3 linked regions of the Oryzias latipes genome follow. The protein of the gene in region 3 interacts with the protein of the main gene of each other region in a pairwise test. Links are inferred from orthologs where the notes say so. Each region holds a gene or a part of one and is shown on either strand. Other genes may lie near its edges.

What was found. The genes of interacting proteins can lie anywhere in the genome.
Region 1: the proteins of zcchc10 (region 3) and sfmbt1 interact in binary tests that used the Homo sapiens proteins (3 or more experiments, as listed by UniProt). The two-hybrid records come from large-scale screens. The link is inferred for Oryzias latipes from reciprocal best matches to the Homo sapiens genes ZCCHC10 and SFMBT1.
Region 2: the proteins of zcchc10 (region 3) and thap1 interact in binary tests that used the Homo sapiens proteins (3 or more experiments, as listed by UniProt). The two-hybrid records come from large-scale screens. The link is inferred for Oryzias latipes from reciprocal best matches to the Homo sapiens genes ZCCHC10 and THAP1.

What each region holds. Positions count from the first base shown.
Region 1 is NC_019863.2:15,515,757-15,519,730, forward strand, and holds the start of sfmbt1 (scm-like with four MBT domains protein 1), read right to left. Parts: upstream 2,801-3,974; 5' UTR 2,686-2,800; intron 2,668-2,685; exon of another isoform or gene 2,555-2,667; intron 1-2,554. UniProt on the Homo sapiens protein: Histone-binding protein, which is part of various corepressor complexes. Mediates the recruitment of corepressor complexes to target genes, followed by chromatin compaction and repression of transcription.
Region 2 is NC_019870.2:29,950,368-29,954,450, forward strand, and holds the start of thap1 (THAP domain-containing protein 1), read left to right. Parts: upstream 1-1,283; 5' UTR 1,284-1,504; coding exon 1,505-1,575; exon of another isoform or gene 1,576-1,644; intron 1,645-3,210; coding exon 3,211-3,403; intron 3,404-4,083. UniProt on the Homo sapiens protein: DNA-binding transcription regulator that regulates endothelial cell proliferation and G1/S cell-cycle progression.
Region 3 is NC_019872.2:6,666,250-6,670,661, reverse strand, and holds the start of zcchc10 (zinc finger CCHC domain-containing protein 10), read left to right. Parts: upstream 1-1,525; 5' UTR 1,526-1,603; coding exon 1,604-1,644; intron 1,645-2,490; coding exon 2,491-2,652; intron 2,653-4,412.

The DNA of each region.
Region 1 (3,974 bases), on a different chromosome or scaffold from region 3:
AGTCAAGCTGCACAGCTATTTGAATACAGTATTTAAGTGCTCAGGCTCAGTCTATGTAAAAACAAATGTGCACAATGTACTATAACTGAAGCGCATTAGTCGTTGCATTTCTGCAAAAGTTCAATGCATCAATGCTGCATCAGCTTGTGAAGACAGACAGGAAGAAAATCAACTTCCTCTATATACAGCGAGTGGTCTGTGAGCAGAAGTCTACAATTCAGGTTCTTGCACCAACGGAGAACCTGAACGAAACCTGAAAGAGAAAGAACCAAGCCGAAATGTACCCAGGCTAAAGCATAAACACTCGCAAACAACAAAAGCCCCGAAATGTAAGCACTCATCCAGCCGTGTTATCATCAGCCCTCAACTTGCCACCAAGTTTTTCTAAAAAGCAAAACTTGTCTGAACTCAAAAAGTTAGAAAGGAGGAAGGCTTTTCCAAACAGAACCTCGTCATATCTAAACCTCTCCAGCTGATTTGAAAAAAAAAAAAAGGTTCTCCACTTTTGAGTATCTTCCCACATTTCGTGCATGCCGTTATGTGCTTTTATGAGATAATTGCATAATTCCTTAATTCAGAGTGCAACTGTGAAGCTGCCCCTACGGGAGGAACAGGTTATTTCAAATATCAACACAGTGGTGATACAAGCTAAAAAACAAAACAAAAAAGCCCTGCTTTTAAATAAATGTTTACATTTTTTTTTTCTTTAAACCACATCTTCTTGGCAACAAAATTGGTATCATCGTAGTTGAAAAACTGTTAGAAGGAAGAGATCAACCAGCAGGATCTGTGAGCAGACTAAAATTAGATAGCAAAGAAAAACACACTTCAAGAAGCCTAAACAATTTCAGACAAAGAGTTGTGGTTTATGGAGAGCACAATGACTGACTGCCACAACAGCACACAACACCACCCATTACTTTGATCAATTCCTGTCATCACTGTTCTGTTTTTCTATAAAAAGTATAAAGCAAAATCTTTTTTTTTTAGTGTTTGCTGCACAGAAGTGAAAAGAACAGGTTGGGCATAGTTTGATTTCCTTAAGCCTAATAAAATATGTTATTACGTTTATATTTATAGATCTGGCATTTTTCTGACAATATTACAGAATAATTAAGCCCATTTATCAGCCTTCTACAATCTTGTTTCATCTTTGTAAAGCTTTTTAGTAATAATTTTAGGTGTCACATGAATTGGGCTTTGTTTGGTTGAATTGTTGCATTTTATATTGGAATTGATTGGTTTGTTGCAAAAAGCATTTCTCTGAAAATGACACACTAAATAGAAACGATTGTCAAGAAATTCGGGGAGAAAAAAGAAAAAGCTGTGTGTAAAAGCAATTAACAGGACATTATTTTTGAGTTATTGCTGCAATTTCAATTTGATTTATGTTGTGTAAACATTCTGATTTCATCAGAAACACTGGTGCCAATGCCTGGAACTACTTTTTGTATATATAAAAGACTACATTTTATTGTTTAAGCCAATAATATGAAAGAAAGTCCTGAACATGAGTGAAGGCGCAGAGGTGGCCCCCACAAAGGCAGCTGATACCTCCCAGTGAGATGTAAATAACTGCAACTACCAGCAGCATTATTCACCAAAATAAAAGCATGAAGACAATCAAATTAGAGCTGGACGGGAAGTCACCAAGTCCTCCAACCTTCTAGAAGTACCGACCAAGCACAGCGTTCAACATGAAGATATTTTCCATACAGTGAGCACCGATGGCCGTCTTTCCACACAACTACCCCACGCGCTTGCCGCGTTGCTGTTTTCCTTCTTTTTTTTGCGTAGAGCGGGACGTCAACTGAAACAGCGCGCGGCCGGCGACCCACTCAAGTTGCACAATAGGGAAGTTAAGGTGCAGAGGAATATTGAACGGTTGCGATCAGTCCGCGTGCAGTGTGACAGGCGCCAGGTAAATCCCGCACAGCACCATACAGCTGATCGACTTGGAAAAGACGGCAGTTAGTTTTACTGATCGACACATACAAAATAATAATAATGATTTAAAAAAAATCGGACGGGGTCGCGCAACCTTCATTATGTAAGAATTCGACATTATTAAAAAAAAATAGGAGTTACTCAAGGCCAAATAACTGTAAATTTCCACACGGTCCTTGAAGTGTATCTAGCTTTAGATTGCGCTTTTTTTCGGAAGAGCCGCAGCATTCAGAAAGAGAGATGGGCCATGAATGGCTTTGCAGAGGGACTAACTTTCACACTTCGCGCAACATTACACACGCCGAATTTCAATTGTGTCAAACTAATAAAGTATTACCTTTAAGAAGGAATCTAACGGGGTCAATCGGGAGTGTTTAGACGCTGGGTGAGATCGCCTATATCCGAATCAAGTTACTGAACGTCACGGCTTGAGCAATAGGAGCAGGCTGCCGAGCAATAAGGGCGCTTACACTCGACCGAAGCCGACTCATCTTTTTGAGAGACGGGAAAAAAGACGAATGCGCCACCACAGTGCAAAACACACGCAACGGTTTGTGACAAACAACACGGACTATGTGAATATTTAGTCGCAAAAATAACCCCTTACCGATAAGTAGTTTTTCCAAGTAGGTTTTTTAGATGCCGTTCCTCTTCGCCTGCTCGCTCGCAGTGATATTAAAGTCAGCGTGACTAAGAACCACAACGTTCCGGTTTGACCTTTCAAAATAAGATACTTACGTGGCTGAATCCGTCGTCAGGGCAACGAGAGGAGCTATTACTGTTTAGAGTTGAGGCCCCCTATTTCTGGTGTGCCTCGTGCAGCTTCTCGCGTGCTTCACGCTTTCGTTCACGACCTCATTCCAATATGGCACAAGTGGCCACTGCGCATGCTCCGCCGCTTATATGCCTCTGAGCCTGGCTTCATCATCACGCTGACTTCCATCTTCACACACACAATGAAACACCACATTACCAGAGTCAGGACTAACATTTTACAACACACAAAAGAAAACACAATGCGTCCCTCTTTGTGACTACATTATGTGTTATGAATTATCAGGACAAACTTGAATGTAGTGCTAAAAGGCCGAAAGAATACTTTATTATGGTTTAAAATTGGATTTATTGTACAAAAATCGAGCTACTTTCGATAAGTCCAGTTAATTTTGGCGGTGTGGCGTGTGAATACGCAGCCTCGGTTTTTAAAGTATATTTTATGGTAATGAGACCTCAGAGTTTTATTATTATTATTATTTTATTCGATGTTCTAGTTTATTAATAAAGAGCCACTTGGACGAGGCGGAGAAAGGCGGACTGACTCTACTTTTTAGCTAAATAGATGACAGGAACTCGTCAACCGATAGCAAATAATGGGTCGGGTCAGTGCACAGCGGTCCTTCACGCCACTCAGGGGTGTCAAGTCGGGTTTTTGGAGGAGAGGGCGGGAGAAATTGTTAAAAATGCAGACTGTCGGTGTGAGTGCAGTACGTTGACATATTTCACGTGCTTCTTCAGTAAAGTCGCTTTTTTTTTTAAATCGAATCTGTGAAAGCTTTTCAAAAAGCTCCCGAGCGCGCGACGTTGACGAAACAACATTTTATCAGTCATTTGGACCGTTAAAGATTAGTGAGGAGCAGTCTTCACCAACAGCCCAAGCCGTTATGCCCATTGTGACGAAAGAAAAAGAGCTCGTGCGCTAACGCGGCAGGAAAAAAAAAAAAGATTGCCCATTCTGGTTTTTACATTAACAAGGGAAATAGTCGGTGTCGAGAATAACCCTTAATCATACGGATTTATTTTAAAATAAATTCATCAAACTACAAGTATTGGAAATATTTAAGACGAGTTCATTCTTTTTAATTCGCTCCAACAATATGCGTTTTCTCTTTTAAATCAAAACGGCCATAAAACTGAAATAAATGCGAGGCTTCACAGAGGGTTGTTCCAAAAAACATTATGTAAAATGTCATCTTCTTCACATAAAACACGTTATAAACTAAACTGTAGGGTGAAGACTTGTTTAATGC
Region 2 (4,083 bases), on a different chromosome or scaffold from region 3:
GTCAAATCCGCCGTTAAAAAACAAAAGTAGTGAACGTGGCGTCCAAATTCCTTTTAAAATCCAGGGCTCTACATAATAGTGCTGCACATAGGGGTTAGGGCGGGAATTTGGACGCAACCTTAGTATTTATAGAGGTGGGCGGAGTCACAGTAACGGCACTGCATGATTGGACCCTTGCCTTATGACCTCATAGGGAAAGAAAGCTCATTGTGAGAAGAACCCTCCACGTGCCGCGGTGGCGCCCGGCCCGGGCTGCCGACGGCTGGGTTAGAGTAAAATACAGGATGAACAACAACCCCCACCCCTTTCATCCAGGACACCTACAGATCATTTTGACCAAATCAACCAAACAAGACAGAAATCTTTGGTCATTAATGTCTAAAAAAGGTTTTAGGAGTTAAAAAAAGGAATATTCTGTGAGTCTCTGAAACAACTTGATCTATACTTTCCCTTTTTTTAACTCAAAGAGAAAATGTGAGTATGAACCCCAGTGAGCAGCTGAAAAGCCCAACAGAGACCGTTCCCTCAGACAAACATGACCCAAAGACAGCTGGTGACCTTTGACCTCACCACCGCGGAACGTGGACCAACACTGCAGATGCTCCTGGTTCGGCCGCCGTAAAGCGGCTAGAAGGAAGGCTCTCCGGCGGCTCGCCAACACCGCCCAAAACATGCTGGGTGCCCCCTCCCCGCCCTGGAAACCCCCCCACAGCTCCCGCTGCCTCAGCAGAGCAGAGAGCCTCATCAGAGACGCTACACGCCCCGGACCGCCGCCGTCTGACCTGCTGCCTTCAGGCAAACGCCGCTGGTGAAGAGAGACGGAAAGACCCAAAACCATTTCCCTCCAACCGCCATAAACCAGTTGGAGACGCCAGAAACCGTGAAACCTGGACGTCTGCTGGTCACTGAGGAGACTGTGGACGTCTGCTTCATATTTAGGATCATTGTCTTTACTTTCAACCATTTCAACACATATTGAAGCACTTTTTCCCCACAACTTTATATTATAAAGAATGAGTCACGACAACACAGCAGCTTCAATAAAACTCATTACATTTTCCTAATAAGAACGAGAAGGGAAAAGAACAAAAAGCTGGATTGTGTGACATTTTACTCAATATCTACATCCAAGCCCGTTTTATGTCGTTTCGTCCATTATTTGTTATTTTAGTAAGTTTTTTTTTTTTAAAGGTATGAATGTTGCACTGACACGAAGACACGTTAATGTTATTGTACACGTGACACAGATCTCTGTATCCCTGAAATGCTCTCATAATCAATCAGTCAATCAATGGCAGCTGTGCCTGTTGACGGTTCAAACTCGTCTCCTCCACTCCCGCCCGTTGGAGGAAGCGCAGCTCTCCAGCGCTCTGCGCATGCCCAGAGAAAGCCTGAGCCAATCACGTTTCAGAACACAGATCACGTGATTCTTCCGCCGCCATAGTTGTTAGTGGCAGCGAAGCCCTCGCTCTGTCCGCGTTCGGCTGCTGTCCGGGCCGCCGCCATGGTCCAGACGTGCTCGGCGTACGGCTGCAAGAACCGGTACCACAAAGACAAAGACATTTCCTTCCACAAGTAAGCCCCTCCCACAGAGGCGGACGCTCCGCCGCCGGAGCGCCGGTTTTCCGGGAAGAAAACCTCCCGGTAAACGCACCTAACGGAGACGTTCCCTCACTCGCGCTCCGATCCACGGTGCATGATGGGAAAATAAAAAAGAAAGTTTGGGTCATGAGTCCGTCCGTCCGGTACCGGCGGGTCCACATGCTGCTGGTGGTTCTCGGTCAACCGAGTGACTGCTGGAATCCCGACTACCGAGTACCCTTTGAGCAATGCTTCAACAGGTTTAGGAGGTCAAAGGTTAACCTTCACCACTCATCCGGGTCTGTCCGGTACAGACGTTTGGACTGAACGACTTAAGGACGGTAGTCCGCTCCGGTTTCGTTCGATACCTGCAGTGATCCTACGGTGTCAAACCGTTACACTGGATTCAACCGGTCAAACACGTTTATTCGAGTCCCACTAGAGGCAAAGAAAGGCTTTCAATGGGTTCATCTTTTCTACGGTGACCCTGAAGTGCAAATAGCTTAACGTGAAGCATTTAAAAACTCACAACGACCAATAAAAAGCGAAACAAATAATCAGAAACTAAAACTATTCCTAGAAATGTTGGGAAAATGAAGCCCAAGGAGAAACCAGAAAGGTGGATTTGTTGGAGGATCATGGGACGGATGTATCCACGACCTTCATGTCAGCTTCTGACTGACATGAAGGTCAAGCGTCTTCGTCCAATCAGCTCAGTCCTATGGACCTTTTCCGGGTTCTCATTGTTTCATTTTACATCATTTCATTTCGTTTTCTGTATATTTTTTTTAATATTTGTTTGTATGTTGTGATCTTAAAAAGGTTTTGCGTCACATGACTTATTGATGTGATTTGTACTTCAGGGCCACCGTACTTTCCTGTTGCAGTCAAAGCTGACGGCTGGATATCTCCGTTATGCTGCCATTTTTGTTGCTCTGCTAATGTTAGGTGGGGGGCAAAGGGATGATGGGAATCAGGGCGGGCTTAGTCCACATCAATAGCCCCGCCCACAACTCGGAGGTGAATTTGTGATCAGCTCCTGCCGCTCTGCAGACACTGTTCTAGAAAAGGAAAATGGTAAAAAAAACCATCGTTAAGACCTCTGGGAACACTTTGACAGCTCATTGGGTGATGGCAGTTTAAGACTGAAATGACTGACAGGAATGAGAAATGAATATGCAACCAGCTCAGCGGCCCTGTGGTCAGTGTCCACCCTGAGACTGGAAGGTCGTGGGTTCAAACCCAGGCAGAGTCATACCAAAGACTATAAAAATGGGGCCCAATGCCTCCCTGCTTGACACTCAGTATTAGGGGGTTGGATTGGGGGGTTAAACCACCAAATGGTCTGCAGCTCACCGCTCCGCCAGGGGGAGGGGTCAAATGTGGCGCAAAAAAGGTCACACAGATGGTGTGATTTAATTTAATGTTAATGGTCGTGGAGGGGGGAGAATAAGTCACTACCAGGACCTTGTTGGCTCTCTGTGGCAGAGTTTACGGTGACGGGAGCCTCTGCACCTTTAGATACGTTTAGAACTTTACTGGAGATTAAAACATTTGTTTACCAGACGGAAGCACAGAAACGTGTCCGGCGATGGGCTGAACGTGGTGTTTGTCGTCCCGGACTGCAAGGTTCCCGTTGGCGCGTCCGGACGTTTGCGGGAAGTGGGTGGCGGCCATGAGGAGGAACAACTTCAAACCAACAAAGTACAGCAACATCTGCTCCCAACACTTCACCAGCGACTGCTTCAAGAGGGAGTGCAACAACCGCGTGCTGAAGGAGAACGCCGTGCCGTCGCTCTTCAGCGCCAACCTCAGCTTCAAGGTAACGCGGCTCAGAGGGCCGATGAGGAGCGCCATGACCACGGGCAGCCATGCGTCTTTTCTGTCTGTGGGGTCTGTAGCATAAAGTATGTTTATGGATTTGTATGCATGGATTTCATACAGAAATCTGATTGGTCCAGTTTCTGACTCGGCTAGTGATGCTCCGCCCACAAACGTGTCCATGGCGTCTAGGCCGGTGGTTGTAGGTTTCACGGCCTGAAACCCGTTTGGGAAGCAGGTGAACAGTGTTGTGGTGCATTGTGGGTCAGCAAAACAGTGTTGTGGTGCATTGTGGGTCAGCAAAACAGTGTTGTGGTGCATTGTGGGTCAGCAAAACAGTGTTGTGGTGCATTGTGGGTCAGCATTGTGGGTCAGCAAAACAGTGTTGTGGTGCATTGTGGGTCAGCATTGTGGGTCAGCAAAACAGTGTTGTGGTGCATTGTGGGTCAGCAGACCAGCGACGGCTCAGCCTTACTGTAAAAGGTTTTAATCTGAAACAGACTGATCTGCTCTGATTTAGTTTTTTCTCACGTTTTCTGACTTCTACAGGTTTCTAACCTGAAGGTCGTCTCACAGCCGCGACCTACATTATTGCACATTTTCCTCGTATGATTCAGTCGTTCATACGTGTCTCTTTCGTCATCCGTGGAGGGTTTCAGCCGACGGGTTTTGAACTGCTAA
Region 3 (4,412 bases):
TAAAATTCTACTGTACTCTAATCTTCAATAATACTTTTTGTTATTAAAACTTTTGTGATTTAAGCTTTTCAAAGTTAGCCTAAATAATGAAAATGATCTTGTCTACAATAGGCATAGATTTTGCTTTTTAAATTTTTTATTCAGAGCAAATAATAATTTTTTCGTAAGACAGTCCTATGAGAAAGCTTTTTTGTTTTATTTTTTTCTTTGTTAACATACATGGTAAAAACATTTGAAATAAAAAAAAAATAAACAAACGAATTGCAACTTTAATAAGAATATGCATTGTATTTATTTTTGTCAGAAATTAGCTAAATGATGATGATAATGAGTATGAGATTAAAACAACTGTAATAATAACATAAACAAGTACAAAAACATAACAAAACATGCAAGCAAAACTGCAGTACTTCAACCCAACTACAATAGTACAAAGAATGTGTATCAATTAATTAACTTGGTAATACTGGCATCATATTGAAATTGGCAGACAATTAGGTTTTAACGTATCTGTTTCATCTAATTCAAATATATTAATTTGTTAAAATTAGGGCTGCACGATATGAGGAAAACTCGCGATATGCGATATTGGTGATTAATATTGCGATAACGATATAATTTGCAGTATATAAACAAATATCAAACCAACCAAAAACATCATTTCCATTTCAATGCAACAGCATAAAAATTATACTCCAAATGACCCTTGTCGACATAGGAGGCAAACATCAAACATAAAAGGGCTCATTTGATTGATCAACAACGTAAACGAGTCCTTCCGATTGGTTAAATGCATAAAGGGATTTATTTCATTTATTCAATATTTCAAGCTGCCATGAGTTTGTTTTAGCACATTTAACCCTTGTGCTATCTTAGATGACCCCCCCTTACAGTGACGTGTTCTTCCTACCATGACAAAGGTGGATAAAGGTGGAAAGATTTCATGTAATCCATGGACACCAGTGAAGATCACAAATCCTAGAAGAAAAAAGGTTCAGAGCACTGTTTAGTGGGTCTAGATGACCCCACTCCCAATGTTAAAGTGCTTAGGATAGCACAAGGGTCAAGGTAACCATTTATTGCGATTTTGCCGTCTTTTGCGGTATGCATATTGCACAGTTTGATGTCGCGATAACGATAAATTTGCGGTATATTGTGCAGGCCTAGTTAAAATCCATATCAAAATGTTGAATGTACAATCTTGCTGCTGCTAAAAAAGAAAATACATTTTTACATGATTTTTCAGTTTATCTACTATTTTTAACACTAAATCTGAAAAAGTACAAACTTTAACTCATCATCTAGGTAGTTTGTATGTTTGCTTATTTCCTTATTTGTACTATTGATGTTGTAACTGTGTTGAATTATTAGAACCACTGAATATTATTTCTACTTAATAAATGCATTAAATTAATTTAACGCATTTATTAATAAGGAAACTATAAAGAATTTTTGTTATGAAAATTTCAAAAATAGTGGGAAAAAATGAACATGACCTTAAAAAGCTTTATCCGTTTTTACCACTGGGGGCGCTGAATACATTAACTTTTCCGGAAGCTCGTTGTGAAGAAACACCACAGAAGAAGTTGCATCAGATTTTAACATGGCTACTCCTATGCACAGAATAATTGCCAGGAGACAAGCGTGAGTATGTTTTCGTTATCACAACGTTACTGATTCCATACCAAATTTATGTGAAGACAACATATCGATAAACATAAATTACACTTTTTTGTTGGGTGCAATATCCTATAGAAGCGGTAAATAACGATTATTTCACTGTTTAAAAACAGTTAAGATGCTGCGCTTCTTCTTTCGCTGTTCACACTTGTTTTCCGCCATTAACGCCCCAAACTAATTATCGATACAACCGCACACGTTCCTGAGGATTTTAGTAGACATTAAGGGGCGGAAAAACTACATTTTGTTTGTGTACAATCTAATAAAGAACGAGCTTACTGCATAAAAGTTGGGATAGAATTCAGTAGTTCGTGAATCGTTGATGGCCTCACCGACCGTGTTATGTTCACTTACTTGGGTAGTAATCAATTAATTCAATAAAATTGGGTTTAGTAAGAATCTGACGCAGGAAAAAACAAAATTTTCAGGACTTTTATAAATCCTTTTCAAAATATGAGATTTTATCAGTATCCACTGTAATATAAAATATTGAATTTTTCTTTTAGTTTGGTTTGGTTTACTTATGCCAAAATTGTTTTATGAACCAAATGGATTTGTAGTGGCCTTTTTTAAAGTGGAAAAAATCAAATTAAATCTAATTGTGAACTTGGAAGCTACTCTGCCTCAATATATATCATCTTCATATTTAAAAAGAAAAATTCAGAGGTTCAACCTCCGTCACTAAGATCAATTACAAACATTTTCTTGTGAAAAACTATCAAGTATTTCCAGGTATTTATGGATTTGGCCCATTTAACGTACTCCTTTTGTAGTGTTGAATCTGAAACCTCTTTTTTTTTTTTTCTACAGGGAGGCAAACAAACAGCATGTACGATGTCAAAAGTGTTTGGAGTTGGGACACTGGACCTATGAATGTACGGGCAAAAGAAAATACGTCCACAGACCATCAAGAACAGTTGAGATGAAAAAGAAATTGAAAGAAGTCGAAAATAAACCACTAAGCATTACTGGGTAAGGTCACTTATTCTTTTCTTAAATATCCTAATTGTATTCTTTCTTAAATTTGAATTTAACCACAAGGGGGCACAATTCAATGCTTTCATGTGGCGAATCCCAAGTCTGTAAATGCTGGAGGTTGTGACTGTATACAATATGAAAAACATAACCAAATCCAAAAACGGAACCACAGACAGAACTGTTCTACCAGATTGGCTGTAGAGCGGTTGGTGAGGTGTGCTGTAGGTGTGACCGAAGACTTCAAGGTGGAGGTGGGACTGGACAATGGATCAGCTTGAACTCTTCATTGTTTGATGTGATGATGGACAGACTGACAGACGAGGTTTAGACAAGAATCTCTGTGGACTGTGATGTTTTCAGATGACACTGTGTTCTGTAGTGAAGGAACATCTAGAGAGGTGTAGGCTTGTTCTGGAAAGAAGAGGAGTGAAGGTCAATCTCAGAAGGACAATGAGGAGGATTCTGGTGAGATTACAGGGAGCCGGGGTGAAGAAGATGGACGACTTGAAGTATTTAGAGGTCAGCAGTCCAAAGCAACAGATTGAGGAAGGATTCAGATGTGATGTGTGACAAAAAAGTTTCAGCAAGAATGAAAGGAAAGGTGCAGAAGACAATGGAAAGAACAGCCTTAGTGTTGGTTTAGACTAGAGCAGGGGTGGGCAATTCCAGGCCACGAGGGCCGGTGTGTCTGCATGATTTCCAGATACTCTTGCCCTACTCATGGCTGATTACCTGGTTCAGGTGTGTCCAGCCAATCAGAACATGCCAGAGCAGGGTATGCTGGAAAACATGCAGGACTGCGGCCCTCAGTGCCCACCTCTGGACTAGAGCATGGTTGTCAGAGTCCAGGGGGGTATTCCAGGAAGCATGTTTAAACTACCCTGACTTTAAGCCTGAACTCTGGCTGAAATCCGCCTGAACTTGCTTACTCTGGGTATGGCGGTTCCAAAAGACCGGATATGAGTTGGCGTAATTACGCTCGACTGGGTAACCCTGGGTTACCGCACGTGCACAGCAGGTACATAAAGACATTCTCAATGGATCGCCGATATCCCAAGTCACCATGGAAACGCGTGGAGAACAAAAGAGAGCGCTATACTTCAGTGAGACGGAGTCTGAGATTTTAATGACGGCGTATGAAGATTATACGCCCATCAAAAAGTAACACGGCTGCATCAGCAAAAGAGAGTTTCTGCTTGGAGAAAAAGAACGGAGAAATAAACGCACAAGTTTCTGATCTTATTTAAAATGACATTGTGACGTATATAAATAAAACTTATCGAACTTAAAAAAATTGATTCAAATGGTAACAAGTGATGGAATTAAATTTATTCAACCTAATTTCTTACGTCTATAAAACTCTAATTGTTTTTAGAACTCAAATTTACATAGTTATCTAACTAAATGTCATATTACTCCAAATCAATTAAATGTTTTTCCATCTCAATTTATGGTACTTCTTGAACTCTCATATGTCTAAGTTAGAGGCTGCAGATTTTCTCATTTCTATAACATTAAAATGAATGACATGGTGTGAATTTACAATATATACCATGCCTTTAATTATCATGAGTCTGACTGTAACTTCAGTTCTTAGACTGCACTCTTGTACTAGTGCTGCTAAATAACCTCATCCTCCTCTCCCTCCCTCTCACTCATGGTGCAGAAAGAATTAAACATAACAGGATAAAATAACACAGTAAAACAACAAAACACATTTGGTCAAAAGAAAGGTGTGGATTCTGACACCCCTG